Callithrix jacchus: one gene and its partners. The protein of the gene in region 2 purifies or fractionates together with the protein of the main gene of each other region. This does not show direct contact. Links are inferred from orthologs where the notes say so. Each region holds a gene or a part of one and is shown on either strand. Other genes may lie near its edges.

Region 1 (10,385 bases), on a different chromosome or scaffold from region 2:
GTCTGTACTGTTTACTGTGGATCTCTGGCGCTCAGCACAGCTCCTGAGACAAACTCGATGCTCAAGAAATAACTGACCCGGCGGAGGCTGAAGTGCAAGGCCATTTCATAATTTCTGCTTTTTTGGTAAACTTCTCATCATCCCCACCCCCTTCTCCCCCCTCCCACACACACACTTAAGAACAGAAAAAACATACAAAGTAGCACACAGAGTCATCAGAACAGATTTCTGGAGCATTGTTTACAGTTGCTGGATGCCTTCTAATGTGCCGCAGTTTTGGGAAGTGAAGAAAGATACATCAGGATCTCTGTCCAACCCGATAAAAGCGTGTGAGGGAGTTCCAAGGGGCTGCTGGTCACATAGCCAGACCCGGGGCCAGGTTGGGCCAGGAAAGCAGCAATTGCTCGTGGCTGGGCAGTGTCAGCCCTGCTCTGTGAGGAAACACAATCCACGTGTCAGCAAGTACTCAAAACCAGCAGCGACAATCGTTTCCTGCAGCAGGCGGGGTTTCTGCTTATTCCTGTCACTCTGGGAATCGGAGCACAGAGGGAATTCCAAATTCTAATCAATAGCTCTTTTCCCTCCACATCTTAGTATCTTATATTTGCACAATATTTGCAACTTGTTCAAAGCTCTTGCATACATATGATCTTACTGGAGTAGGTCACCGCAAGCCCCAGATGGTGAGTTATCAACCTGTCTTTCATGAGGAAGCAGAGTTCAGAAAAGGTCCAGGATGCCAGTGGCCTAGTCAGTAGCAGAGGGAGGATTCGAGCCCACATCTCCGCCCAGTTCTCCCGCTTCCTCACACCACACCACGCAGCCTCACCGTGAGTCAGCTCTCACGAGTTCCAGACACAGGACCTCAGATCCTCTAGCGCCAAAAGGTGCCTCCTGATCCTGGGGCTTGTTTACAGCCAGTACAGCTGGCCCCACTACTTACATTTTTGCTCCCTTTTCTCTAGCAGGACCTGGTACTATGACCTATGTTTGCCTGTTTTGCCTGAAAGCCATCCCCACACCCACTCTGAAACCACCTCCCCCCATTCCATGATATTGCACTAATTGGAAGCAACTCAAATACCCCACAGTAGGAAACAGTTAAGCAAACTCGTAAAGCAATAAGACAGAATGCTTGGGAAACTCGGACGATAACAGGTATGTCAATGTTCTCTGCATGGGTCATGTGTTTTTGATGTGCTGTAATTTGATCAAAGCAGAACACAAAAGGACATGAAACTACCTATTACAGGTATGTAAAAATGAGTTTCTGCAAATTGAGAAGAACCAGGAGTGAACTTAACAAGATGAAAAGGTATTTTTTTAATCTTCACGGGTTTTTCTTTTCTGTAATGTTCGAAATGATATTAAAGAGTAAATGATCATAATAAATATGATAATAATAAGCAGCGTGGGAGACAGAGAAGGAGGAATGTTTCCTGCTGGAACTGGAGAAGGGGAAGGAGAAGAGGCTGCAAAGAGGGAGGGAGGGAGCTCGGTGGGCAGCAGGAGCCAGGAAGCCTGAAGACCCTCACCCACAGCCACAGACTTGCAACAGGGAGCCCAGCCTCCTCTGGGGGTCCCTCAGGGCCAGTCAGATAGGTGACCAGCCTGAAGTGGTCCTCCAGGGCATCTTTCACAACAATGACAATGTCATGGTGCCTCCTAGAGCTGTGCAAGGTAGCAATTCTGGGACAGAAAGAAGACTGGAGCTGGGGAGGGTTTGCTCACCACCCTCTTCACCTGTTCTGGACTTCCATCGTTACCCAAGATCTCTGCAGTTTTTCTGCACTTTCATTCCAGAGGGCTAATGAGCACCTTGGCTGACAGCAGATGAAAGGCCTTCAGGAGGAGCACAGCCTCCCCCTAGTGGGGAGGCTGACTGGCAGGGAGCCGGCAGTTCCAAAACGTGCCAACCTGGGGCTCCCCTGAGACTCAGGGACAGTGCCCTCCACAGACACATCAAACTCAGCATGTCCCAAGCTGACTCATTCTCTCTCGGCAGCGCCCCCTGCCACGCCTCCAGCCATATCTGCTTCTCCTCCTGTGTTCCCAAGCATGGCAGACATCGCCACCACCCACCTAGGGCTTACCAGGCCCTGAGGATCTGGCTGTGGCGTGAGAGCTCACTCCACCATGCTTTGCACCCTGTGCCCCACCCACACTGCAATATTTACAGTTGCCATAATATGCCAAGCTGTTTCCATCACCCTGTCTATTCCCAGACTGTTTCTTCAGCCTGGAGAATCTTCCCTCCCTTGCCCAGCTGCTTATCTGTTAAGACTCAGCTCCAGCAGCATCTCCCTCAGTGCAGCCCTCCACTGCACCCCACCCCCATCACCTGTCCCCACATACAGATCAGCACCTCAGCTTCTTTGTCTCTGTAGTCCCGACTGACACCTAGCCCTGCTCCTGGCATTTTCAGCACTCAATATATTTATTTTGTAAATAAAAGAACAAATGACTGAATGTGGAACATAAATTTGGGGGTGGACAAAGAATGAATCTGACTAACCAGACCAAGACCACGTGTGGTAGCCCAATGCCACTACATTTCTGGTAACAGTATTTCCTGATTCACCGCTGCCCTTAGACCACTCCTTTTTAGTGGGTCCTCTCTGGTCTCCAGGCCCTTGGAGACTTCCCACCACCGCACACAGCAGGTGCATCTGTCTTTGGTCCCTGCTGTTCTCCAACTGGCCTGTAGAGGGGTCTCTCACCCGTGTGTGGACTGCGCTGTTCAGGGCAGTGAGCTTGCCGGGAGAGTTGCTGAGTCAGGTTGGGTGGGTGGGCTGAAGACTAGTCATCTCTTGGTATTCATGAGAAGCAATCGCCTTAGCTGCACTGTGTGAAGCTATCTTAGGACTGGCTTTGGGGATGGGGGACAGAGAGCAATGATTCTCAGGAATATTACATTGTCACACTCCCTGGCTGGGTGAGCTCTTTGATCTCCAACACACACTTGGTGGGAGGGATGTCAGCCACCCATGTCCCTTGCAGTGGCTGGTTTCCAAGAATATCTGGGGCCACTGACCTCACTTGAACCACATCGGCCTAATGCTTAGGGTAGGAGCGCTGCCCTTCCCCTCTCCAGTCTAAGCTGCCTGGCTGTCCTACGTCAGCTCATCAACCTCCCCTCAGGCCAGCTGCTCAGGGGAGCTGCTCAGGAGACCTGCTGGTCTCCTTCTTGGCCTAGACTGCTAAGGTGCTGCATGCTCTGGGCCTGGCCCTGTCTGTCATCCTCAGCTGCAGCAGCAACAGCAGGCAACACTGTGAGCCTGGTGCTAGGGCAAACCTGGTCCAGGAGGAGTAAAGGAAAGACTGAACTTCAATCTCCAGGAAGCTTACAGTCTAGATGCTTAATGCACAGAGGAACTGGGGACTGAGAGACAAAATGTGTAGACAAAGCGAGTTCTAAAAAATCAAATCCAAAAGACAGACATACTGATGCTTCTCTTAAAAAAAAGATTATCTTAAGTCATATGTTTTTCCGTTCTAAGGACTCAAGATTTCATTCCTGTTTCCAACGGGCTCTGCCTCGGGTTTTTGAGCAGGCATCCCTGATCCCTGGGCTCTGACAACAGTTTGGGCAAACCCACCAGGATGAAAGCCCCTATGAGCCTTATGTCCAGAGAGTCCTTAGTGCACCAGGTGTGGCTTTTGACCCCCAGCTGAAAGATGCCAGTCTGGCACTATCATGGATGAGCCTGGTATTCTGGTCTCCGTCTCCCTTCCCCTTCTGCTACAGTGATGCCCCTGACAGGGAAGTCTGAGTGCTCAAAAAAGTAAGCAGACGAAAGAATTCTAACAGTTCAAGACCAGGATCTGCAAAGGGTGTATTCTTCCAGGTGCTTCTACAGACCTCTTCAAACAGTCTCATGAGGCTAGGTGGCTGGAACACGGGCTACCCTGACTAAGACTTTTAAGGCCCTAGAGGTGAGTATTTCACACTTTCCCCAGCCCTGAACACAAATCAGTGGGGAAAATGTCATTTCAAACCGCAACTTCCTTCTTGAAAGGGTGGACCCTGTTAAAAACCTGGGAGGTTTTTGGGTGTTAAAAGGTGGTCCTCGGGAGAAATTTAGGGAAAGGGCACTGGGAAGACCGGAGTTGCTCAGCACAGCAAAGGAGAATCTGGTTTCCCAGAGTCCATAAAGGAAGGAAGGGCAAGGTGCAGGGATGGGAAGGAAGGAACAGGAGGAAGCTAGATTAGATGGCAATGGGCTAGGGAGTGTGATGGGGTCTTGTGGCCATTGAGAAATCCCCAGTGGTGAGACAGGCAAAATAACTTTTCAGAACATTTCAGAAATGTGATCTTAAATCATTTGCTATGTGATGTAATCTCTCCCCTGCGACCCACAAACCTTTATTAAACGTTTTACTACATGTTACAACCTTATTTTTGTAGTTGCTTTAAAACGGGGTGGGGGTTGAAAGGAGAAGGGGCTGAATTGACCCCAGGAGCTACAGAAACAGTCACAAGACCAGAATAGTGAATAAAATGCCAGACGAGGCAAAAAACTAGAGCCAGAGGTGACCGTGAAAATGTAAGTCCTCCCAGTAATTCACAGAAATCCCGGGGAGGGCACTGGACTTTCCACAGGACATGGTAATTGGAGCCAATGCCATTTGAATCTCAGAGGACAAGCTACCTCAGCTGACATTAGGTTACAGGCAGGCTTTGCCTCTCCAGCTGAACTAAGCCTTGCAAAACATAAAATGTGTCACATGCCCTTTTGCCATCTGGGCCTTAGCACAGGGACTGCACATAGTGGGCCCAGTAAAAGGGTGTGAACGGTCCATGAATGTCCTGGATGCCCACGGAGAGCTGGAAGAGTCTAATGTTTTGGTGGAGCAAGGACCGGAAAGCCATTCTGGCTGGGGACTTCTCCATCAGCCCTCCTGGGCTCCACCCTCATATCCATCAGCCCTATCCCAATGACGGCTTAAAATCAGCTCTGCAGCCTGAGGGTTTTGTAAACAGGCAAGGCCCAGGAGGAGATGGTGTTGGAGAAAGTCACAAAGCGTTGTGCAGGAACCAGACTATTCTGAGTCAGTTTTGCCCCCTATAAAGTCCAAGAGGCAGGCCTCTTGGGAAGGAGTTTTAATCCAAAGGACCTGGGGCTGGATCAATGAGTGAGTGGAATGCCTCAAGCCCCAGACTTTTCCTAGGAATGGCTGTAGGATGTGTCGTGTGGGGCTCTGGTCTTTGCTCTCAAACACCCATTTTATGCCCCTCTGAGGCTTCGCCAGGAGCCCCGCAGCCCAAAGACCCCTCCGTTCTGCAACATCCTTGCATGAACGACGCGCTGCTCCCAGGGCTGATGGCGCCACCTGGTGGCACAAAGGGTCCCGCTCACCCTGAGAACTTCGCTCTCAAGCGGGCGAGAAGGAGCGGCTTCTGTGCTCCAGCCCAGCGTGGTGACGTCACGACAGAGTGCCGTGTCTCCCCGCCTCTTCCCTCTCCCGGGAGCTGCCAGTACTTGACGTGGCGTCACCGCCCTCTACCCTCGCTTTGCGTGCGTGTTTGCGTGCAGCGGAGGTGGCGGCGCGGGCAGGTCGGAGCTCGGAGCTGCTGCTTCTGGTTCTCTGGTGGCCGCGATCGCTGTCCGGCTGCCTTGGGCGGCCAAGCAGACGAGGCGCGGACCACAGCACCTCAGAAGCCGACGCAGCTCGACGCAGGGCCCGGCGGGAGGGTGGGCGATCGCGTGTTGGAGGGTGCCGCGCGGGCAGGCGGGCGGACGCCGGAGGGGGAAAGAGGCGGGGGCGGCGGGTCAGCCGCGGGCCGGGCCGGCCGGGGGATGTCGATGCCTGACGCGATGCCGCTGCCCGGGGTCGGGGAGGAGCTGAAGCAGGCCAAGGAGATCGAGGACGCCGAGAAGTACTCCTTCATGGCCACCGTCACCAAGGCGCCCAAGAAGGTGCGGGGGCTCTGGGTGGCGGCGGGGGCTCCGGCTCCGGCCTCGCGGAAGGGACGCGAGCAAACCCCAGGCTCTGGCTAGTTCGGGACCTCTGAGGCTGGGGTTGGGGTGACTGGAGGCGGCGGAGGTGATGTAGGGGGTGGCGGCCGTGCGGCCCCAGGCATATCCCGGGCTGAAAAGGCCGCCCCTGACCTCGCTTTCCTTTGTCCCTCGGCCCAAGTCCTCTGGGATCGTTTTGAAACCCGACAGGGCCAGGCCTTAAATTTGTGGCTGACTTTTCCTGGATGAAGGGCCTCGAAGTCAAGAGTGGGAGGGGGTGAACCAACTCAGCTGACCCTTGTGACCAGCCCAGGGACATGGGGTGCTCAGAAAATCTCACTTCAGGTGAGTGGGTAAATCGGGCAGAATTTCCGTCAAATCTTTGGGAGCAGTGGCCGGTTTATCCAACAACTGCGTGATAGCTGGGAGCCAAGAGAAAAGAATGCGTGAAGCTAGCTCTAATATACAGGTGAAAGCAACGAGGGTAAAAGGAAAGTGAAAATCTATGATTTTCACTTTCTACAGCCTCCCGTTACTTCGAAATATGTAAGAAATTGACATTTGGAGGTTGGTGACAGGAGACACTGTCATGGATACAGGTGGATCCTAGTCATGTGAATAGATCACTTAGGCATCCCTGGAGAAGGGAACTTGGGTGGGTTGGAGTGGTGGGTGGTAAGGAACGATTGCTCATTCTTGACTGTACTTTTGAGGCAGAACAAGTTTGATCTATTGTGCAGTGGGTTGAGCTCAAAGGACACCCTTCAAACTCTCTCATAAATGGCAACCTTTGGAGATTGTAGTCTAACTAGCTCTGAGTGGTGGAATTGGGATCCTTACTGCTTTCTGATCATTTACTGCCAACCATGTCTTGATTTTCCATACACCTGGCACCCAGTTAGCAGTAGAAGAGAACCTTTATAAAGAGGTGACCTTCCTGAAGCCAATGAGAACCCAGATAAATGTCTCCCTTCTGTATAAAGACGGAGTCTTAAAGCCGCCTCTGCCTGCAGCGTTTAATGGGATGCAGGGCTGAACAAAGCAAGGGTTGCAGGAATAGTTAAGTCCTTGAGGCTTCAACTAGTTAAGCCGTCTTAAGCAGGAGAGATGGCTTTTTTTTTTTTTTTAAGGGAATTAACCTGCAACTCCAGAAATCAAATGCAAGATTTAAAAAGACAAGTCGCCATTGTATGCTTTAGCTCTTTTTTCTCACAAAATTAAGAATTTATTAATTCCTTTAAAAGATTGTGGAAGATCCCTCGACTCTGAGAAATCTGACTAACTTTAGTGCTGTCAGTTCAGTTGGTAGAGTGAACTTTTGCAGTCTACACTATTCTTTGGAGAAACAGTCACGGTCCTTATAAGCAAAATGATTGAGGGTAGGACCTCAGAGGAGTTAGAGGAAAGAATGGGAAAGCCCCAGTTCCCGAATTTTCCAGACTCTGGCATCTTTGCTCTTATTTGCCTTTATGTTAGTAAATCTGTATTCTTGAAAGTACCACTGTTGATAAGACAAAGTCTATATTGTAGATTGTTAAACTCATTAAGGCGGAGATTCTTGTTCACCTTTGTATCCAGTGTGCCTAGCTCTGTACCCAGCATATAGTAGGTACTCAAATATTAATTGCCCACCTGGCTAACTAGTAACTGAGATGTCCATATGGCTATCTACCAGGAATAACTATCCCTTTTCCTCTCTTCTTCCCAGGAGGAATATTGCTAATGTGCGCTATTGTCAGGCCAAGTGCTAATGATTTTAGACTTATATTCCATTAGCTAAAAGAAGCAGGCCCTGCCAGGAATGTGGGAAGACCCTGTTTTAAGATTCCATTTGCCGGTAAATGTGTCCCACTGTGTTTCTTATTAATCTTTCTCTTCTGAGTTTTATTGTTTAGCATTTACGTAGGACTTTGTAATAAAGTTCTTTATGATGACTAATTACCCTTCCCCTAGTGATGATAAAAGGCATTTATTTAGTTAATGGATCAGTTGAAGACTAGTCAAGGTCATGTAGCAAGTCCTAGGCCATCTGTTTTTCAAAACTTCTGCTGAATTGAACATTATGACTTGTCACTTTTGTACTTCTGCCATGTGTTGATAACGTGAGAAAGCATGGGTAAAGTAAGAGGGGAAAAAAGTAACTTGATGTGGTATTAATGCTGTGACAACAAGACCTCTTCAAGCGGTGCAGTCCTTCACCTGTGGGAATTCTACCCTGGCTCTAGACCAGTAATCCTTGGATCGTTCTGAACCTCTGAGGCCCCTGAGGAATAGAGGATGTTCTTGATGCCAGAGGATATGGGTTACTTCAGGGTGACCTTGTTGGTCCTCAATTAGATCAGATCCCAGTGTCGCTTTCTGGCCAGGTTTTATTCCTGTTGTTTGTTTTGTTTGAGGTAGGAGTGGATGTCCATCAATTAAAAGCATAAGTATCTAGATCCTCCAGCAATACACATGACTTACTCAGTTGCGGGTGCCATGGCGTCTATCACACTGCTCCTGAACAAAATGGGGCTTGTTGGTTTGACTGAAGATTTGAGATGTGTGGGCGTCCAGAAGTCAACTAAAGGGTTGACTTTATAGTTGAGCAAATTAATTAGCTTTTGTACATTCATCTCCTCATCTGCCAAATAAGTGCCTACTTTTCTGGAACAGGCGGAGATAGAGGCATGCTGGGGAGTTAAGATAGCAAGCGTAATTTTTTAAAAGTCTGTTCGCATATTTATATTCTTCAGTGGACATTTGAAGTGGCTTATAACACAGGATACTTATTTTATATAAAAGGAAGTAAAAACCATAGAAAGAATGAAAAAAATTGTTAACCTCAGAGCTAAGTTAGTTGATGAGGTTGATCACCACATGCAACTTTAAACTCTTAGCAGCTAGAGGATAAGAGGAATCGCAGAGTTTCCTTAACAGGCATGGGAAAGAATGCATGTCAGTTCCTCAAGAGGACAACTTTTCCTGACACAGAGTTCTAAAAGAAATTTTCACAGGATTATATTAATAGCTATAGTATGATTCACATTGTAAGGCTAATTCACGATTGTCACTGGTGATTTCAGATGGTCTAGCTAGGAAAGATGGTATAGCTCGAGGTAAGAGAAGGAATCCTTGAGTTGTAGACTAATTGTACATTGTACCACAACTGAAGAAGATCCCTGTTTAATGTTGGCCGTTATCAGTCAAACCAAGTAAGTCATCTAGTTCCCCATAACCACTGGTTATTCTCTTTTTCTGCTCTTTTGTGTAACAGGAGTGATAACTGTCCTTGGACCTTTGGAAGTTGACATTGTGTCAAGTTGATTCTTTTTTCACAGTGTAAACCCAAATCTCCAACTTGTTGAGACCTCTTACAGTAAGCATGTTTCTCTGCAAGGCCTATCAGAACATTTGCTGTTCTCTGGACTTCTGAACATTAAGGGCACTCTCCAGAGTGATCCATTAAACATTTGACCTAGGATCTGTGTAGTCAGACCTTTACCGCCAGCAAAATTGGGGAAAGAGAACAGCACAAAAGAAACTGCTTTCGTTTACAGGATATTCTTTATTCGAATGAACCTCTGTAGTACTGATTCATCAAAAGGGTCAGCTGAGACTTAGGAAGCACAGCAAGTAGAGCCCCAGTGGGTACAGCTTGGGTGTTAACCCGATAGGTAGAATCCAGGATTCTCCTTTTCTCATCAGTTATCTTATGGTTAATTTTTGGTACAGTTTTATGAATTTATACCAGGACTTGTCAGAATCACTGAAAGGAGATTTGATAAGTTGGCATTTCCTGTCTTCTTCACATCATTAGTATCTCTTGATTCTGTTAGAGTGGCTGCTGCTTTCATAGCAGTCTTTGAAACAGAAGTCAGGGTGTAAGCAGATCCTCTTTTTAAGATTTCTCCACAGATATTGATTACCTCTCTTTTTCTTACATGGTTTAGTTAGTTACATTCTGGTTTCCAAATTACTTTGTTCCAAATTCCTTTAAACATTTAGCTTGTAACAGAAAGAAATCTGTTAGATTTCTAGATCAGTGGTTGTCTAGATCTTTTGCTGGCAAGGTTACAAATGTATACTTTTTCTTTTATCAAGAGTGTGCCATTTGGATCCAGAGTGTTTTACCCAATATAAGATTCTTTTTTTAAAATGTATTTTTATTCTTTATAGAGATGGGGAAATCCCTGTGTTGCCCAGGCTGGTCTCGAACTCCTGGGCTCAAGCAATCTTCCTACCTCCCGCCCACCCTGGATATAGTATTCCTGGAAAGTTGTCTATAAAGGATATTTTGTAACATAGAATCATGCAGGTCTTCAGTTGCCTGTGACTCTTAGCAAGTTTACTCTGCCACTCCAAGTAGTTAACGATCTGTAAATAAGTACTTTAATGCCCTCTTGGGGTTGTTTTAAAGGAATTGGCGAGTAAAGGAGAATCATT
Region 2 (10,412 bases):
GGTCCCATGGTGGTTTACAGGTGTGTTCTGCTCCCTGATAGCATGAGTTACTTAAAGCAATTTCCTGCTCTTGATAATTTTCCATTGCCTTGTCCCAGCCTGGATGGGAGTTTCTTCTGGACTTGATTTTCAGCCCTGATAACTCTTCTGTGTACACTCTGAGATCCCAAAGTGTTTTCCCTGCCATGACTCAGGTAGCAGTGACCTGAGGTGGGCATCACTAACATGTATGTCTCTTCTATGAGTCCAACGTCCATTTCTGAGTCACCATTTGTGTGCTCCTGCCTAACACTACCACCTTTGGGATTCCAAGATGCTGCCCCCCTACCCGGCCAGGGAACCCTTTTTCAGCACCTCCCTGGCTCAGCTCTGACCTTGGACACGTCATATACAACTTTTCTAGGCAGTACTCTGCTCATCCCCAAAATGAGGAAGTTATAATTGCATGGAAGAATTCTCATAGGTATAAGTGAGCAGGGTTCCCGTATCACACAGAGATGCAGGGGCCCCTATCTCTCTCCAGGTCCTAGGGTGTGTCCCTCTTTACTTCTTTTTTTGAAACGGAGTCTCGCTCTGTCACCCAGGCTGGAATGCAGTGACATGATCTCAGCTTACTGCAACCTTTGCTTCCTGGGTTCAAGCGATTCTTCTGTCTCAACCTCCCAAGTAGCTGGGACTACAGGTGCACACCACCACGTGAAGCTAATTTTTTTATTATTGGTAGAGACAGGGTTTCACTATATTGGCCAGGCTGATCTCCAACTCCTGACCTAGTGATCCGCCCACCTCGGCCTCACAAAGTGCTGGGATTACAGGAGTGAGCCACTGCGCCCAGCACATTTTTTCTTTTTTTTTTTTTAGACCGAGTTTCATTCTTTTCGCCCAGGCTGAATTGCAATGGCATGATCTCAGGTCACCACAACCTCCGCCTCCTGGGTTCAAGTGATCCTCCTGCCTCAGCCTCCTGAGGAGCTGGGATTATAAGCGCCGCCATTTCGCCCGTCTAATATTTGTATTTTTGTAGATACAGGGCTTCGCCGCGTTGGCCAGGCTGGTCTTGAACTCCTGACCTCAGGTGATCGACCGGCCTCGATCTCCCAAAGTGCTGGGATTACAGGCGTGAGCCATCGCGCCCGGCCCGTCCCTCATTAATGTTTGTGGCTCAGATCCATCCTATTACCCGTCTCAAACCTCAAGGAATGTTTGAGTGGAGTTGACATGGGCATGAAAAGAGATACGAATAGTCAATCTCCAGGGGAACTACAACTTCCATCAGGCACTACTTCGGCGGAACGGGAAACGATGTGGGGGCGTGGCTCCTCCGCCCAAGTAGCGCGGGAAACTACAACTCCCAGGATAACGCGAGACCGCAGCAGAACGAAAGGAGTGGCTGAACCCGGCTGGCGACCCGACCTGGCCGAAACCACCCCGACAGCCTCCAGAAAGGGGCGTGGCCGAAAAATGTAGGGGCGTGGCCACGTGGGCATGAGGAAGAAGTAACCTGTTGAATCTATTTCTCCTCCCCACCCTTACTGCTTTTTCCCATAAGGGAGAAGCTGCAGACAAATAAGCCTCTTCAAAAAAAGAGGTAAAGGGAGGTAGACAAGAGGCAGTGGCGGAGGCTGGCTACTGCATTCCGTAGGAGGCGCCAACAGTTACTTTTTACCTGCTGAGTCCGGTGAACCAGTTCATGGGGGCGGGGACCTGCATATGAGGAAAGGGCCAGGATAGAGCAGGTATTTATTTGTTCATTTTGAGAATTAAATTTAGAACCCATCATCCACAGACCCATTTGTAGACTGTGTCTGGGGCCCTCGCTCGGCCTCAAAAGGAGGAAAGAACGGAGGCGACTTTTTGCACCAAAGGAAAGGCCCGTCTCGGCTACCTGCCTTCCGTGTTTGCCCTGGCCTAAAGCGATAGAACCAAATGGCTTCCGTGGTCTGGGGAAGTGCCCCCTGGTGGGGCCCGCCGCCCCCGGCCCCAGCTCGGCCGCTCACAGACATCGACTTCTGCTCCGGGGCGCAGCTGCAGGAATTGACCCAGCTGATCCAGGAGCTGGGTGTGCAGGAGAGCTGGAGTGACGGGCCCAAGCCGGGAGCCGACCTCCTCCGGGCCAAGGACTTTGTCTTCTCTTTTCTTGGTAAGTCACCCTACTTGCCTTTGGGAGCTCACAGCTCCCAACCTCACAACCACCCAGCCCTGGCTTTGGTCGACGCCTTCATGTTCCCTTCACTTTTTTCAGGTCTAGTTCACCGTCGGGACCCTCGCCTTCCTCCCCAGGCAGAGCTCTTGCTGCTTCGTGGTGGGATTCGCGAGGGCTCCCTGGATCTGGGGCATGCACCCCTGGGTCCCTACGCCCGGGGACCTCACTACGATGCCGGCTTCACACTCCTAGTGCCCCTGTTTTCGCTGGACGGCACTGAACTGCAACTGGACCTGGAATCTGGTTACACACAGGTCCGCCTCCCAGAACTGGTATGCGGAACCCCAATCCGGGAGATGTGGCAGGATTGCTTAGGACCCCCAGTCCCAGGAGGATGTGATTTTATCCACCCAACCGAGAGCAAAGAAAGTCCCAAGGACTCGCAAAGCTCTGTAGACCAGCGGCACAGCCACGTCACTGAGCACGTGGCGCCAGTGTCTTTGGAAAAATCACCTAGTGACGTTTCAGCGTCCGAGTCTCCACAGCATGACGTCATCGACTTTGGCTCCACAGCACCTTTGAAAACACCGAGTAGTGACGTCACCAAGGCAGCCGTCGAAAGCCCAGTCCCAAAGCCGTCGGACGCTCGGGATGCATGGCCCACATTATGCCCCGCCCAGGTGGCTGCCTGGTTCTTTGCTACGCTGGCGGCAGTCGCCGAGTCTCTGATTCCGGTCCCCGGTGCTCCACGTCTGGTGCATGCAGCTCGCCACGCGGGTTTCACCACCATCCTCCTGGCTACCCCTGAGCCCCCTCGCCACCTCCTGCTCTTCGACCTGATCCCAGTGGTGTCCGTGGCCGGCTGGCCCGAGGGTGCTCGGAGCCACTCTTGGGCTGGCCCACTGGCCTCCGAGTCGGCTTCCTTCTACCTGGTGCCGGGTGGCGGCACCGAGCGGCCATGCGCCTCCGCCTGGCAGCTCTGTTTCGCCCGCCAGGAGCTGGCGCTCAAAGCGCGCATACCAGCGCCGCTGCTGCAGGCGCACGCGGCGGCCCAGGCGCTACTGCGCCCGCTGGTGGCCGGGACGCGGGCGGCGGCGCCCTACCTCCTGCGGACGCTGCTGTACTGGGCGTGCGAGCGGCTGCCTGCGCTCTACCTGGCGCGGCCGGAAAACGCAGGCGCCTGCTGCCTCGGGCTGCTGGACGAGCTTGGCCGAGTGCTCGAGGCTGGAACGTTGCCTCACTATTTTCTGAGCGGCCGAGAGCTCCGTACGGGTGACGGCTCCGCTGCGCTGCTCCGGGCGTTGGCCCGGCTCCGCGGGGACCCTGCCAGGGCCCTCCGCGCAGCGGTGGAGGAGGCCAAGGTGGCCCGCAAGGGGGGCGGTTTGGCGGGCGTGGGGGGCGGGGCCCATTAAAGACGCTGCTCCTACTAGTGGAAGTGACTCCGTGGGCGAGCGGGACCTGGGGGGCACTGTTGCCTTCTTGCCTGGGGGGCTGACTGAGTGCCCTGGGCCTGAAGTGTCCCTTCTAGAAGGCCTCCTCAACGGTTCCTCCTCTACGCCCCCAGCTCGGCCCCCGGCACGGGTCGCCACGATCCAGCCTCGCTACTCTCCACTTCTGCGGCCAGCACTCTGTCCAGGGGCAGCTTCCAGAAACTCTCTCTCCCCAGTTCTTTTGGTCATTTCTCTTACGGACCAATAGAAATGGGAGAAACATATTTGCTGACCAAATGGGGAAAGGAGTTATGGGGACCAGGAGATCAATTTGGCTCATACAAAGGCAGAGATACTAAGGAGGCAGGATTTCGCCCGAGGCTGGATCTCACCACTACCCCTCCTCCATCTCTCCAGTTCTTCCCCGACTTTCCTCGTGCGGTTCTGTCCTCACTGACATCCTGGCCAGTAGGGTCCCTCTCCATTCTCCCAGCGTCCGCCATTCCATCTCCCTTAAGCCCAACCTCTCTTTCCCATCCAGGGTTGTGTTCTGGAAGTCCTCTTGTCCCTCCTCCTCTGAAGCCTGAGGTGTGCGGCCTTGCCTCGGCTTTGCCTGCTTGTAAGACACAGTCCCCACTCTCTGCCTCCAAGGAACCCTGGGGTTCCTCCAGCCCGGCTTCACCCTCCTATTTCCCAGCGTCTCCGCCCCCTGCCCCGCCCCCGGGCCGGCTCTCCGAGGAGGGGGAACTGCTGTCGCCGCCGCCGCCTCAGCTTCTCACAGCCGCTGCCGCCGCTCTGCCTGGTCCAGCCACCGGCCCAGTGCCCTGACTTCGCCGGATCGGGGAGCTCTGCAGAGACACCCTCACTCCTTGAGGGTCCGGGACGCCTAGCCGGGCGTGGGGGGAAGCTCTGTTTGCGGGGGACAGGGAGGGAGGAGCCTGGAGCCGAAGCCAGCGCCACCCGCCGCCGGATCAACAGGACAGGACAGGTTGAGGGGCGTCGGGGAAAGGAAGAGGGGGTGCTATAGGCAATCCCGGGGAGGACGAGGAAGCCCTGTCGCAGGAAGCTCTGATCCGCTCTGACTTGTAGGGGGCCTGTTCACATTTGGGAACTGGTGACAACGTGGGTGCACTCCTCTCTTGGGAGGGCTGGTTAGATTGGAGGGTGTGGGATCTAAACTGCACCAGCTGTCCCCAATAAAATTTAAGGGGCAGCCAGGGCATAGAAAAACATAACACGGATGTGCCTCATTTTGAGGTGGCAGAAGACACCTCAAACTACCTGGTGTATCCACTAGGAAGGGTGGATTTGGAGGTGACTTCAAAAGGAGTGGAGGGTTTGAAGGTGAAGAAAGGGTCTTCGCCGCTAGAATTCCAGGCTACTAGACATGGGGGGACTTGGTGAAAAAGGTATTATCCAGCCAGAGGGTCTGGGAGCCCCGTCTTACTGAACCTGGGCAACCTGGATATTCTGAGATATTTTGGGGGGATTTCAGTGAAAAAAGTGGGGGATCCCCTCCGCTTAGAGTGTAGCAAGGGAAAAAACACCAAGGTTGGTTTCCTTCCTGACACTGGCAGTGCCCCAGTAGGGGTGAGGTGATCAGTACCCCCAAAGCTAAAGTCCCACACCCTGTAGATTACAAGAGTGGATTTGGTAGGAGTGTGCCCCCAAAATACAGTGGAAAGGTGTCTGGAGATATTTAAACCACGTCTTGGAAATTTGGGGGGGCTTGGTTGGCTTTGGGACAGGTGAAGTGGGGACAAACACTGGAGAGGAGGGAAAGGGGACGTTTTCAATACAAGGCAAAACTCGAGGGTGGGATCAACTGAGGACTGCTTAGGCTGCTGGATCTGGTGGAGCTAGCACCGGGCCCACGGGTGGAAGCTGGCTGCTGTGGAGGGGGGAACCTGGGGGTAGTCTGGGGCTTCTCCTCAGGCCCTGTGGGTGGGGCAGCAAGTAGGGGCCTGAGCGTCAAGAGCATGCCCTAGTGAGCGGGCTCCTCTGGGGGAGTCCAGCGCGCTCCGGGTGCCCGCCAGTTTGGGGGTGTCTCCTCCCGGGGCGCCATGGCGGCGCTGGCCAGTAGCTTGATCCGGCAGAAGCGGGAGGTCCGCGAGCCCGGGGGCAACCGGCCGGTGTCGGCGCAGCGGCGCGTGTGTCCCCGCGGCACCAAATCCCTTTGCCAGAAGCAGCTCCTCATCCTGCTGTCCAAGGTGCGACTGTGCGGGGGGCGGCCCGCGCGGCCGGACGGCGGCCCGGGTGAGTGCGGCTGGGGCGGGGTCTCCCGGTCAGATGTTTCACTGCCTGGGATGTTGAGGCCAGGGACTTTGAAGAATAGGGCCCGGCTGAGGGGCTCCCCGAAAGTGGAAGGGGGTGGGCCAGGACAACAAAGTCCCTGCCAGATTGTGCCTCAGTTTCCCCTTTTGTCCATAACCCGGAGTCACCTTATTTTCGAGGTCAAGGAGAAGGCTTGAGGGGCTAAGTCTGGCGAAAGCCTCGCAGTTCCTGCTCGTCCCCCCTCCCCAACACAGCAGTCCCCACCCCCACCGTCCTCCGCCTACGTGCCGGTTCTCGCGATTCTTTCAATCTGGAGCAGAGGGGCCTGGGGGGTTCCAGACGCCTGGGTCACCCCAAGGGTTTCTGCAGTTTCAGCTCCCCCCCCCCCCGCCACCCCCGCCCACCCCGGTTCTCCCGCTCCTCCACGCCTGGGCTCGGTTCTTCCTGGTCGAGCTCTCTTGGCTACGAGCCAATCTCCCCAGCTCTCCCTCGGGTGTCCTTGCAGCTACCTCGCCAGCCAGCCCTCTATGCGTCCGCCTCCCGTGACCTGCGCTTCAAGAACGGAGCTGGGCACCCCCTCCCATCACCCCCGCGCCACTCCGAAATCGGGTCCCGTAGGCTCAGGGGACCCTACGCTGGGTGGAACTCAGACACAGTTCACCGCTAGAGGTGGGCGCCGAGTCCTGGGGGTCGTACCACCTACAAGGGGGGGGACAGGGAAGTCGGCAGAGAGCAATTGATGGGGTAGGAGAGTTGTGAGAGTTTCAGTGTGGTCCCGTCCATGTACGACAGTCAGGGAGTCCCTCTGGCCCTGCTCCCGCCTGCTCCCAACTCCCCTAAGGGCAGCTCCCTCACGCCCTCCTCCCCTCGCCACCGGCTGCCCATAGTGGTACAGTCCGCAGCCCACCCTCTGAGTGGGACCGGGCCCCCACGTGATTCAGCCTGTCTCTCCGTCTCAGCCCCCACCCCCCATATCCTTGGTAAGGTCCCCCTACCCCAGGCGGGTTGCCTGGCCAAAAGCGAGAGGCTGAGCCTCAGGGAGAACTGGGCGCCCGCGAGCTAGCAGACTGACAGACAGACAGACAGACAGAGACAGATGGGTCAGTGTCAGACAGTCCGGCTCTGGGCCAAGGCAAGGCTCTCGCCAAGCTAGCGGCAGCCGCAGCAGATGCTGAGTCAGCGTCAGGCCCAGTCCCACCCCCACTCCTGAGGGAGAGCCCCTACCCTGTGGTCAACTTGCTGCTGCCACTGTCCCCCACCTTCGAAAACACACTGCCCCTTCAGTGCCCCTGTGGTTTCCCTCTGTCCCCTACCTATTGATATCTCTCTCCCCTTCCTCCTCCTCCTCTCCTCCCCGCTTCTGGTTGAGCTGTAGGGTAGGAATTAAGCCATTTAAATACATTTCGATAAATTAAACTGAAAGCTCCTGGTTATATGAAACAGAAGGGACCCACACCAGCTTTCCCAGGAGTTAAAGAGAGGTGAGAGAGAGCGTGCTTGGAGGGTAAGAGGGCTGGGGCCCTGGGACCCTCTTCCTTCCTTTCATTCTCCTTTCTTCCCTCTGATCCTGCCAAGTATAGGTATGTTGCTGGGAACAGAGATGTCATTTTCAAAGATGAATGTCTCTCTCTCCAGAGCCTCAGCTCAAAGGCATCGTCACCAAACTGTTCTGCCGCCAGGGTTTCTACCTCCAGGCAAATCCCGACGGGAGCATCCAGGGCACCCCAGAGGATACCAGCTCCTTCAGTGAGAGGGGAAGCCGGCCGCTGGGTGGGAAGGGGGAGAATGGGGACAGCAGATGACACTCCTGTTCCCCTTTCAGCTTCTGTTGCCACTGGTCTGTCTTCCCGACCCCTAAGGGAAAAAGTGGAACTGTGATGAGGGGAGCTCAGGTGAGGGTCAGAGCCTGGGTATTGATGCTCCCTCTCTCTAACCCCCAGCCCACTTCAACCTGATCCCTGTGGGGCTCCGTGTGGTCACCATCCAGAGTGCCAAGCTGGGTCACTACATGGCCATGAACGCTGAGGGACTGCTCTACAGTTCGGTGAGACAATGAGGCTGAGTGGCTGGGGAATACTGGGGACTCCCCTTCCTCAACTTGTCCCTTGAGGGAAGGACATTTTGCAGTCTGGGACTCCTGCCTCCAGCTTTTACTGATGGCCTATCATCACTGCTCATTCCAGAGCAGCTTCTCTAGGGTCTCTCCAATCCCCACGCCTTGCACCCCCCCAACACAGCCCCAGGTTCTTTGAATGTCCAACTCTTTCTGCCTTGTAGGGCCCCTACTTCTCATCCCACCTCCTCCAGACTTTGTTATGACTCACTTCCCTAGAGTCATCCAGGACAGGGGTTAGTGAGAGGCTGGGGGTACAGTGGAGAGAAGGAATCTTATTCCAAGACCCCTAAAAGTCTAGTTTTCTTTCTTTTTTTTTTTTTTAATAGTGACAGGGTCTTGCTATGTTGGCCAGGCTGGTCTCAAACTCCTGACCTCAGGTGATCCACCCACCTCAGCCTCCCAAAGTGCTGGGATTACAGGCTTGAGCCATGGTTCCCAGCTCAGAGCCTAGTTCTTAACCCTCAAGGGCCCACCAGGCCTCTTTCTTGTCCTTCCTTTGCTCCCAGGTCCTGCGTGGACTCAGAAGTTGTCCTCCTGCTCCCGCAAAAAACATATGGATTACATCCTGGCTTGTGCATTCCACGGGCTCCCTTCTGCCCAGTGATGTGTCTTTTTGTCTCTTTGTCTTTATTTGCCTTTCTGGGTCTTTGTCTCCTTAGCCACATTTCACAGCTGAGTGTCGCTTTAAGGAGTGCGTCTTTGAGAATTACTACATCTTGTACGCCTCTGCTCTCTACCGCCAGCGTCGTTCTGGCCGGGCCTGGTACCTCGGCCTGGACAAGGAGGGCCGGGTCATGAAGGGAAACCGAGTTAAGAAGACCAAGGCAGCTGCCCACTTTCTGCCCAAGCTCCTGGAGGGTGGGTATAGATTTAAGAAAATGTAGGCCACAAGAGAGGGTGTTGACCTTGACATGGACATTTAGGGGCAGACAGCTCAGGCTACAAGTGATAAGAGGACCCTGTTATGGCAGATCAAGCCAGGAAGGCTTTGCCCTTTGGGGGTTTGGGGCACTCTCCTGTGGGTTGGGGTTCTGGGAGGGTGAGTGTATGGGAAGGGAACCCTTTCAGAGCACTGGTTCTGCCTGGGTCCCTCTGTGCCTAACTCTCCTTCACTGCTCCTCTCTTTCTCCCCTTCACAGTGGCCATGTACCGGGAGCCTTCTCTCCACAGTGTCCCTGAGACCTCCCCTTCCAGTCCCCCTGCCCCCTGAAATGTAGTCCCTGGACTGGAGGTTCCCTGCACTCCCAGTGAGCCAGCCACCACCATAGCCTGTCTCCCAGTCCTGCTCTCACCCCTGCTGCCACACACATGCCCTGAGCAGCCAGGTCTCACCAGCTGCTCCATCCTGAGGGAGCCTAGGGGCAAGTTGTGACTTCCGGGGCTGCTGAGACCCTTAGATTGTTGGGCCTAGGAGGGAGTCAGAGAGAGGGATGTCTGAAGATGGTCCTGGCTGATCACTTCTTTCTTTCCACACTCATACAACCCCCAGGTCTTTTCCTGAGATGGTGCTGGGAGTTCCCAAATGGACAGCCAGGGCATAACGCTCCCCACCCCGGCTCAGCCAGTTCCTGGAGTCCTGTGCCCCTTTTCATTGCCACTGAGCCATTTATAGATTCACTGGAGTTCAGGATTCATGTGTCCTTCTTTCCCTCCTCTACCTTATACCTTGGTCTGGACATGTTCTGGAACACTGGACACCCTAGCCAGGGCCACTGCTGTACTAGGGCCTGTGCTGAAAGCCAAGCATGCTGCCAGGCTTTGCTCTGGATCAATCAGGAGTCTGCCCTTGGTTTGGATGGACCCCTGGTTTCCAAGTAGAAAGTGGCTAGATTTGAGCTTTGTCTAGCTGTTGGCTTTGGCCTGAACTGGAACCAGTCTCAGATGACCACAGGTTTAACCTTCTTATCCCAGAGACACCCAATTCTAGAGCATTATGGAGCCATACTTCCTCCTGGATCCCAGCTCTAGAACATAGACCATGACTCCCAGCCCTTTTACCCAGGATGGAACTCGGGCCTGGATAGCCATATTATTACTCTAAGTTCTAGCCCCACCCTCCCACCTTCTTGAATGATTACCTATTACGGATGAGTTCTGGAAAAGACCCAGCTATGATTCATAAAAACAGTTCTAGATGAATCAAGAACCACTTCTTGTTTTTCCTAGAGAATTCTCTAAAAATATGATTCTTCCATATAGAATGCTAAGCTTATTTTTACATGCAGTTTCTAGCTCCTTCAACCCAGCTGAGGTCGTGCCAGGGAGACAGAGTCTGGAGAAGGGCAGAGGAATTTTGGAAGGATCCCTGGCTCATAGTAGGGAAGCTGGGATCTGGGAGGGGTCAACATTATGGCATGATTGAACCTACATCTGTGTTGGGTGGACATAAATACTTAGCTACCTCAGCAGGAATCCCTTCCAGATCCCCTTTAAAGCTGAGGTCTTTAGA
Region 3 (9,630 bases), about 58 Mb from region 2:
GAAGAGGGTGTTTCCTCCTGGGGCCAGTGATGACAGGTTTGATCAAGAGCAGTGACAGATGTTGATAGCATCCCAGGCCTGCAAAGCAGGGCCTAACCCTGTGGCGTTCTCCTCATCTACCATGGTCTAATTCTGTTGGTCAGTTTCTGATCTGTCCTGCCGTGGGGAGAAGCGTGTTCATATCTGCTAGGGGCTGGTGCTTTACTTGAGGCACTGTGATGGTGCTGAGCACTCCAGTGGCACTTGGGATCTTGTTCATTGTGCATTGTGGGAGAGTTTTTTATACTACGTCGGGCTGAGCTGATGGTGGAAGATGAATTTTGCTGTTTCGGGTACTTGGTGTATTGGCATCTTAGGATCGCAGCTATTTGGTACTCACTGTGTCCCCTGGTGGAGACCAAGCCTCTGTTCTCTGTTTTAGGTGCTCCATGAACACGGAAGATGGCGCCAAGCTCTACGACGTCTGCCCGCACGTCAGCGATTCGGTAGTGTGCTCTGTTCAGGCCACGCCCTTCTCTGATTGCTCAGTCCTCTGGGAAGAGGACTTCTTAGCAAAGAGCTTGTAGCTGGCCCTGGCTAAACAGAGTGGTTTCCTGGAAGAGGATTGGGTGTGCACCAGAGGCTCTAAAAGTTTGGGTATAGGCAGAAAGTATTAGAACTTTTTTTTTTTTTTTTCTGAGACAGAGTCTTACTCTGTCGCCCAGGCTAGAGTGCAGTGGCACGATCTTGGCTCACTGCAACATCTGCCTCCTGGGTTCAAGCGATTCTTTGGCCTCATTCTCCCAGTAGCTGGGATTACAGACATGTGCCATCATGCCTAGCTAATTTTTGTATTTTTAGTGGAGATGAGGTTTCACCATGTTGGCCAGGACGGTCTCGAACTTCTGACCTCAGGTAATCCACTCACCTCGGCCTTCCAAAGTGCTGCAATTACAGGTGTGAGCCACTGTGCCTGGCAGTATTAGAACTTTTATTTGCATTTCTGTTAGCCTTTTCCTCTCATCCTTTGAAGTCTCACTGTTGCTCTCTCAATACAGGATGATGTATTAGTTATAATAGTACATGGACACAAATAGCAAACAAGTAGATATACAGGGGGTGTGTGAGCAAACAGGTTTCAGGTCCACTGCTCTCTGGAGCCTTATTCCTCAGAGTGTGAGCCCTTGACCAAGGAGCACGGAATGAGTCAGCCTACATTTGAACAAGGGTGCCAGGTGACCTCTACGCACCCAGAGTTTGGGAAGTGCTGTTCTTGAGCCACACGACTTGTTTTAAGGCATGTAATGCCTGTGAGTGAGCTTCTGCAGGTGGGCAGCCAGCAGGCACAGGTGTGGAGAGCGCGGTCACCCAAGGAGGCACTGCTCACAGGGACTTTCCTCTGGCCCCAAATCCCACAGGGTCTCTTCTTTGATGATTCCTACGGCTTCTACCCAGGCCAGGTGCTCATTGGCCCCGCCAAGATCTTCTCCAGCGTCCAATGGCTGTCAGGTGTCAAGCCCGTGCTCAGTACCAAGAGCAAGTTCCGAGTGGTGGTGGAAGAGGTGGGTCTGGGCCTAGGGGCAGGAGACAGAGTCCTTGACCTCCACGCCCTGGAGCTGAGCTGCTGCCCCTTTCCTGCCTGCTCTGAGGATTGAGCCCTGCTCTTCAGCTTCTGGACCCTGTTGATCTCAAAGGGCTTTAAGGAAAAGGGGAACCCAAGCTCTGGTCATAGTGACCAAAAGACAGATGTCCCCAGCCCAGCCTGAGCAAGGTGGGAGGGTGGTGGGTGGCTACCAGTGGTCCCTGGCTGGTATGAGCAGTGATACTGGTCCTGGGTGTTGCATTGGGGCCGTGGTTACAGTCAGGGCCTACTCTGATTTGTCTGTACTTGGTGCTGCACTAGGAAGATCAGTTTCCTCCTCTGGAGGTCAAGTGGGCCCTGGGCAGCTGGCTAAAGAGTGCTGTCAGAGCCTGCCCTGACTGGCGTGTCCCACCTGCCATCCCCAGGTGCAGGTTGTAGAGCTGAAAGTTACATGGATTACCAAGAGTTTCTGTCCAGGGGGCACGGATAGCGTCAGCCCCCCACCCTCTGTCATCACCCAGGAAAACCTAGGCAGGTGAGCATGCCCTGCTGCCAGCAACCCAGGGGCACCCATGGGACAGGGCTCTGGGCCCTGGCCACAGATACCTGGGGAGGCTGGAGAACACTGCTGGCCTCCCAAGAGTTCAGCCTGGCTCACCCCCACTTCTCCCTCAACCAGGGTGAAGCGTCTCGGATGCTTTGACCATGCTCAGCGGCAGCTTGGGGAGCGCTGTCTGTATGTCTTCCCAGCCAAGGTAGAGCCAGCCAAGATTGCCTGGGAATGTCCAGAAAAAAACTGCGCCCAGGGGGAGGGCTCTATGGCCAAGAAGGTATGTCCTTGGGGTTGGGGGTTGGTGGGCATTTGAGGAACTGGCCTTGAGCCATTTCCATGGCCAAAAAGGACAGTCTGTGCTTTAGGCCTTGGTGGGCAGCAGCCCTGATGACCCTTGCCGGCTACTCAGGTGTATGCAGCTATCATCCTCACAGCTCTGTCATCTCTGCTTCGCCCTTGCAGGTGAAGCGTCTATTGAAGAAGCAGGTTGTGCGGATCATGTCATGCTCCCCGGACACCCAGTGTTCCAGGGACCATTCCATGGAAGACCCAGACAAGAAGGGGGAAGCCAAAGCCAAGGGTGAAGCGGACTCTGCCAGCCCTGAGGAGACACCTGATGGCTCTGCCAGCCCAGTGGAGATGCAGGATGAGGGCGTAGAGGAGCCCCAGGAGGCAGGAGATCAGCTGCCCCCGTTCCTGCTAAAAGAAGGCAGAGACGACAGGCTGCACTCGGCAGAGCAGGATGCAGATGACGAGGCTGCCGATGACACGGATGACACCAGCTCAGTGACCTCCTCCGCCAGCTCCACCACTTCCTCCCAGAGTGGCAGCGGCACGAGTCGCAAAAAGAGCATCCCTTTGTCCATCAAAAATTTGAAGCGCAAACACAAGAGGAAGAAGAATAAAATCACCCGAGACTTCAAGCCAGGGGACAGGTAAACTGAGAGTTGTGCCCCTCCCCCATGGCATCAGCATGAAGTCAGGCAGAGTGCATGCCCCCTCAGCTGCATGCCTATGCTTGCACACACACTGCACACCTTGTAGTGGCTCTAGTGCCTGGGGTAGGCCCTGGTGGAAAGCAGAGACTTAGGAATGGTACAGAGGGTGGAATGGTGGTGGTGGCCTTAAGCTTGGCCTTCTGGGGCCACATTTGCCTGAGCTCTCCCAAGTGGGTCCCTTTCTCAGAATGCATGGCCTTGGAAGCCTGGATTAGCTTCCTGTGCACCAGAGAATCATCCTGCAGGCCTGGGACTCAGAGTTTCATGTTACCGAGCCTGCAGGGATGGGAAGGGACAGAACGATTCTCTGCCCTTTCCCTGGGGTGGCGGTGAGGGAGGGGGGTGTTTTTGCATGTCGCTGACTGGCCTGCACCTGGCAGGGTGGCAGTGGAGGTGGTGACCACGATGACCTCAGCTGACGTGATGTGGCAGGATGGCTCTGTGGAATGCAACATCCGCTCCAATGACCTCTTCCCTGTGCACCACCTGGACAACAACGAGTTCTGCCCCGGAGACTTCGTGGTAGATAAGCGAGGTAGTGCCAGCTCTGGAAGGGCAGCCAGCGGGGTGGTCACCGACGAGGGCCCAGGTTGGGGCTTGGGGAGAACAGAAAGGGATCTGGGGTCAGAGCTAAAATGAGGTCGGGAAGGGGACTGCCCTCATGAATTGGGCTCTCCATTTCCAAGACGGGGGAAGGTCAGGGTTCTGCACCCTGCACTGGCTTGAGATGTGGGCTCCTTAGCCTGGGTCCCTTAGCTAGTTGCGTCCCTTCCTCTGGTTCCCTAGTCCAGAGCTGTCCAGACCCTGCTGTCTATGGTGTGGTACAGTCTGGCGACCACATCGGTCGTACCTGCATGGTGAAGTGGTTCAAGCTGCGGCCAAGTGGGGACGACGTGGAGGTGTGTGCAGCCCCTACTGCTTTCTTCAGCTGGGCTCTGGGGTTGGGTGTAGGCCCCTAGCTCATGATGGCCTGTCCTATGCCACAGCTAATTGGAGAAGAGGAAGATGTGAGTGTTTACGACATTGCTGACCACCCTGACTTTAGGTTCCGTACAACTGACATCGTTATCCGCATCGGCAATACTGAGGACGGGGCTCCTCACAAGGAGGATGAGGTAGACCTTCAAATTCAAGTTCTAGATCGCTGCTCCCTGCCCTATGCAGCAGCTGCAGTCCCTGATGCTGCCACCAGGTGGCTCTAGGAGACAAGACCTGAAAGTCCTCTGGCTAGTTGTTACTAGGAGAGCAGCTGCCCCAAAGTCAAGCTGCTGCTCAGCCCTAGCAGCTGCAGAAGGACTTGTTTCCCTGACTCTCTGCCGGTGTCAGGCTTCTTGAGCCGCTGCTGGTTACGTTTACCAGAGGAGCTAAGTTCCTTGTCACAAGCTGGGTGGGCATGATGTCAGTCACTGCAGAGCACAGGAGGGCTGGGGAGCTGGGGCTGGAGCTGGGCTCCCTGACTCTGTCCCCTTTGCCCAGCAGCCATCAGTAGGCCAGGTGGCCCGTGTGGATGTCAGCAGCAAGGTGGAGGTGGTGTGGGCTGACAACTCAAAGACCATCATCCTGCCCCAGGTGAGGCTCTGGCAAGTCCCCCTGCTGGGCTTGTGACTATGGCAGCTGGGGCTGGGGCCACAGTCAGGTAGCCTAAAGGTGGGCTCTCGGGTCTTCCTGGTGAGATCTCAGTGAAAACCTGAGGAGAAAGGCAGTCATTCCACACAGCCCTGGTTGCGGGGTTGGGGTCAGCCCACAGGTGGCCCACCAGCCTCACTTCTCCCATCCATCACTGGGTGCATGTAGATTTTCACAAACCTCCAGGATTTTCCTGGATTATCACTATGCTAAGAAGAATGTAAGTTCCTTCCTAAAAGGAGATGGAGACTTTCCTATCACCCTTTCTAGAAAGCTCTAACAGCAAAGGAGAGAAAGGAGAGAGCTGGCCCCATTCTAGCCCCAGCTGCTGGGTCCTGAGCTGAAGGGCCACACGGGCTCTCCTTCCCTCGCCTCCCTGGCTGGAGCTGCATGGCCCAACTCTCCTCTCCTGGCTCCTGCATAGGGGGTGGGGATGGGGCAGAGCAGGGGCAGGAATGGCTTGCCCCATCACCTTAATGGTCATTCCAGGGAAGGCAGCAGGATGTGCTGGCCCTTCCGCACATACTCTCCTAACGTATGTTCCCAGCTCCCAGTGCAGCCCCACATGGGCCTCCCTGCCTGCATCGTTAGCTGACCCTGAGCTTTTCAGGTGTGGGGCTGGGCCTGCCAAGGTTGCCTGCCTTCTTGGGCAGATGCTGACCAAGTGTACAGAGTGGGAGGGGAGGCTGAAACAGACCACTGGCTGGGGCTTTGGGTCCAGCTTGGGGGTGGGACAGGTGGAGGGCCTCTCCCAGAGACCTAGGGACTGCAAAGTCCAGAGCACAGGGTGGGGAAAGAGTGGAATGAGGTTGCCAAGGCCTCATGAGCCCAGTCCCCATCAGCTGTGCAGATCAGGGATCCCCAGAGCTCTTCCTTTGTGGTAGGGAGGTAACTTCCTGTCTGCATTACCCTGGCACTTCCCTTCTGCCCCCAGCACTTGTACAACATCGAATCTGAGATTGAGGAGTCAGACTATGATTCGGTAGAAGGCAGCACCAGTGGGGCATCCTCGGATGAGTGGGAAGATGACAGTGACAGCTGGGAGACGGACAATGGGCTGGTAGAGGATGAGCACCCCAAGATAGAGGAGCCCCCCATCCCACCCACGGAGCAGCCTGTGGCCCCTGAGGAGGACAAGGGAGTAGTGATCAGTGAAGAGGCAGCCACAGCCGCTGTCCAGGGGGCTGTGGCCATGGCTACCCCCATGGCTGGGCTGATGGAGAAGGCTGGCAAGGACGGGCCTCCCAAGAGCTTCCGGGAGTTGAAAGAGGCCATCAAGATCCTGGAGAGCCTCAAGAACATGACCGTGGAGCAGCTGCTGACGGGCTCGCCCACCTCTCCCACTGTGGAGCCTGAGAAGCCAACTCGGGAGAAGAAGTTTCTGGATGACATAAAGAAGCTACAGGAAAACCTCAAGAAAACCCTGGACAATGTGGCCATTGCAGAGGAGGAGAAAATGGAGGCAGTGCCCGACGTAGAGCGCAAGGAGGACAAGCCCGAGGGGCAGTCACCTGTGAAGGCCGAGTGGCCCAGTGAGACCCCGGTGCTCTGTCAGCAGTGTGGTGGCAAGCCTGGCGTCACCTTCACCAGCGCCAAGGGCGAGGTCTTCTCCGTGCTGGAGTTTGCACCCTGTGAGTCAGCCTTTGCCCAGTCTTCACCTTCCCCTGCCTTCTCGGGGCTCCTGTTTGTGTCACCAGATCTGGGTGCGGTGGTTAGGTGGTTAGTCCTCACTGGCCCCCAACTTCTGGCCCAGGGCAAACAGTTTCCCTGTATGGTTACAGTGCTGAGGCCAGCGAAGGCGAGTGGGAAGTCTGTGGGTGCGCTCACCTATCCAGCCAGGTTTGCAGATGGAGAGCTCCAGGGCCTCTCCATGAGTGACTGACTGCTCTCTTTCCTCTTCTAGCAAATCATTCTTTTAAGAAAATTGAGTTCCAGCCTCCAGAAGCTAAGAAGTTCTTCAGCACAGTTCGGAAGGAGATGGCACTGCTAGCTACCTCACTGCCTGAGGGCATCATGGTCAAGACTTTTGAAGATAGAATGGCAAGTAGGCTTGGCATGGGCAGGTGCAGATGTGCTGTGTGGGTGCCCAGTGCCCAAGAGGCCACCAGCCTTGGGTCCTCAAAGCTCCAGGGCTGACTGGCACCTGTGAGGACACCCACCCACCCACCTTTTACAGGGGCGGTCACAGGCACAGCCAGGTGAGGGCTGGCGGAGAGCCATGTGTCCAGGCCAGATGGTTTTCTTTTCTCCCTTCTTTAAAAAATGAGTTTGAAATTAATTATATTATGAGTACTCCTCAAGCCTGCTCTTCTTTTTGGAAAAATTAGAACATTACAGATCCTTTGAGTGGAAATAGAAGAGCTAAAGTTGCCTTTGACCGGCTCTGACTTCCCTTTTTTCCTGAATCATAGGCCTCTTCCCACACCCAGAGGACTGCTGGAAGTTTAGTGGGTCTCCTTCCAAATGGATGACCACGGATTACCTTTTTTATGTATTTTTACATTTTTTATACATTGAAAAAGTATTTCGACATGTTCATGTATCACCATGAGTACAGAGTGTTTTGTATGATTTGTTTACACCGAGTATTTGCCTTTTGTTGTTGTTGTTGTTGGAGATGGAGTCTCACTCTGTCGCCACGCTGGAGTGCAGTGGCCTGATCTCAACTCACTACAGCCTTTGCCTCCCGGGTTCAAGTGATTCTCCTGCCTCAGCCTCCCAAGTGGCTGGGACTACAGGCCCGTGCCACCATGCTCAGCTAATTTTTGTATTTTTGGTAGAGACGGGGTTTCACCATGTTGGCCAGGATTATCTCAGTCTCTTGACCTTGTGATCTGCCTGCCTCGGCCTCCCAAAGTTCTGGGATTACAGGTGTGAGCCACTGCGCCCAGCCCAGAGTATGTCATTGTATATATATCATCTCTAATTTGCTCAAGACCTACCCATATTGATTTGTAATGATCTAGTTTCTTCCTTTTTACCTACAAAATAGGACAACAACATGTGGCCACACCACATTCCATTTTCCCACTCTTCTGTTTGTGGACGGGGCCTAGTGTCTCTGAGTCATCTTTACTGAGGCAGCATGAGTGCCTCCTCTGGGAACAGGCAAGCCTATTTGCCTGCCACCTTGTTTACTCAGCAATCCCTACTGGGCCTGTGCTTCAAGCCAGGCATCATGCTAGACTCTGAATCTGAGTCTGAGGCCCCAGTTCTGGCCCTGTCCTGGAAGGAAGAGGGCAAAGAAAAGGAGTAGGGATCCTGAGAGCTGCCAAGAGGGGCGCTGTTGAGATGGGCCCGGAGCAGCCCCTCCTGGAACAGGGCTAGGCAGAGTCCTAAGTCCAGTGCTGCTTGAGATTCTTAATAACACTTTTGTTTTTTGCTTGGGTTATAGTAAAATTCCTTTTGAAAATTCTAGCTTTTCTCAGCTCTGCTGAGGGAAAACAGGAACAGTATTTTTTTGGTTTGTTCTGTTTTCCCAAAATCTCACTCAGGAGAAGAAAAGTAGTGTGTTCTCTGGAGGCTCCCAGGGTGGCACCAATAAGAGCATGCATGAGAGGTTCCCTCACCCCAGCTGGCGCTCTGCCCTTGTTGCTTCTCAGCTCATCACCGACCTCGCCCATTGCCCTGGCAGTTGAGATCACACACACACACGTGTACGCACATGCACACAAATAGATGCGCAGATTCCAGATGTCTGTGGAACGGTGGTCTCCCAACATCTCCCCTGGATCAAACCCTCACTGCCAGCTTCTGGTGGAGAGATCATCCCTAATTCCCCAGGCCCCACCATCCTGGAACTGCCTTTCAGCTTGGAACTGTTTGTACTACTTGCCTTGTGGGAGATAAGGGTTGGGGCAAGTGTTTAGAGGAGTCTTTTTTTGTTTTGTCTTTAAAAGACAAGGTTTCATTCTGTCGCCCAGGCTGGAGTGCAGTGGTGTGATCATAGCTCACTGCAGCCTCAACTTCCTGGACTCAAGTGATCCTTCCACTTTGAGTAGCTAGGATTACAAGTGTGCACCACCATGCCAAACTAATTTTGTATTTTTTGTAGAGATAGGGTCTCACTATATTGCCCAGGCTGGTCTTGAACTCCTGGCCTCAAGCAGTCCTCCCACTTTGGCCTCACAAAAGTGCTGGGATTATAGGTATAAGCTACCACATCTGACTGAGGAATACAATTTTAAAGTAATGATTTATGAGGAAAACCACCTGATATGATAAAAATTCATTTAGAATATTTCTCTTAGCCAGGCTTCAAAGATTCCAGGTAAGGGCTGGGCACAGTGGCTCATGCCTATAAACCCAGCACTTTGGGAGACTGAGCCAGGCGGATTGAGCCTGGGCTCACTTGAGCCCAGGAGTTTTAGACCAACCTAGGCAACATAGTGAGACCCTGTCTCTACAAAAAATAAATCAGCCAGGCATGGTGGCACACACTGTAGTGCCAGCTACTTGGGAGGCTGCAGTGAGCCATTATTGCACTAGTGCACTCCAGCCTGGGCGACAGAACAAGACCCTGTCTCCAAAAAAAAAAAGAAAAAAGAAAGATTCGAGGCAATTTGGCACAGAGGTATTTGTGCCTAGCTTTTCCACTGCTGGTGGCATCTGGAGTCCCAGCTGCCCTTCCCGCTTCATTCACACAGTGTCCTGGGAAAGTGCAGATGCAGATACCACATGCAGGACACCCCCCCTTCCAACCTGCCAACCTCAGCCTCCCTCCCTCCCTACATAGGACCTCTTCTCAGCCCTCATCAAGGGCCCCACTCGAACCCCCTACGAGGATGGCCTCTACTTGTTTGACATTCAGCTCCCCAACATCTACCCAGCTGTGCCCCCCCACTTCTGCTACCTCTCCCAGTGCAGTGGCCGCCTGAACCCCAACCTGTATG

Evidence for each region.
Region 1: the proteins of FGF11 (region 2) and AHCYL1 purify together in Homo sapiens (affinity purification with mass spectrometry; 3 studies listed by BioGRID and IntAct, with this or other methods). This does not show direct contact. The link is inferred for Callithrix jacchus from reciprocal best matches to the Homo sapiens genes FGF11 and AHCYL1.
Region 3: the proteins of FGF11 (region 2) and UBE2O purify together in Homo sapiens (affinity purification with mass spectrometry; 3 studies listed by BioGRID and IntAct, with this or other methods). This does not show direct contact. The link is inferred for Callithrix jacchus from reciprocal best matches to the Homo sapiens genes FGF11 and UBE2O.

The regions. Positions count from the first base shown.
Region 1 is NC_133508.1:147,827,532-147,837,916, forward strand, and holds the start of AHCYL1 (S-adenosylhomocysteine hydrolase-like protein 1), read left to right. Parts: upstream 1-5,512; 5' UTR 5,513-5,801; coding exon 5,802-5,921; exon of another isoform or gene 5,922-6,305; intron 6,306-10,385. UniProt on the Homo sapiens protein: Multifaceted cellular regulator which coordinates several essential cellular functions including regulation of epithelial HCO3(-) and fluid secretion, mRNA processing and DNA replication.
Region 2 is NC_133506.1:73,909,419-73,919,830, forward strand, and holds the start of FGF11 (fibroblast growth factor 11), read left to right. Parts: upstream 1-6,536; 5' UTR 6,537-6,628; coding exon 6,629-6,827; intron 6,828-7,482; coding exon 7,483-7,593; intron 7,594-7,787; coding exon 7,788-7,891; intron 7,892-8,622; coding exon 8,623-8,821; intron 8,822-9,102; coding exon 9,103-9,173; 3' UTR 9,174-10,412. Other genes in the region: TMEM102 (transmembrane protein 102), read left to right, coding at 1,927-2,140, 2,243-3,555.
Region 3 is NC_133506.1:132,286,982-132,296,611, reverse strand, and holds part of UBE2O ((E3-independent) E2 ubiquitin-conjugating enzyme), read left to right. Parts: intron 1-421; coding exon 422-485; intron 486-1,397; coding exon 1,398-1,541; intron 1,542-1,986; coding exon 1,987-2,096; intron 2,097-2,240; coding exon 2,241-2,391; intron 2,392-2,576; coding exon 2,577-3,049; intron 3,050-3,492; coding exon 3,493-3,647; intron 3,648-3,898; coding exon 3,899-4,011; intron 4,012-4,098; coding exon 4,099-4,227; intron 4,228-4,588; coding exon 4,589-4,681; intron 4,682-5,672; coding exon 5,673-6,369; intron 6,370-6,641; coding exon 6,642-6,778; intron 6,779-9,473; coding exon 9,474-9,630. UniProt on the Homo sapiens protein: E2/E3 hybrid ubiquitin-protein ligase that displays both E2 and E3 ligase activities and mediates monoubiquitination of target proteins. Negatively regulates TRAF6-mediated NF-kappa-B activation independently of its E2 activity.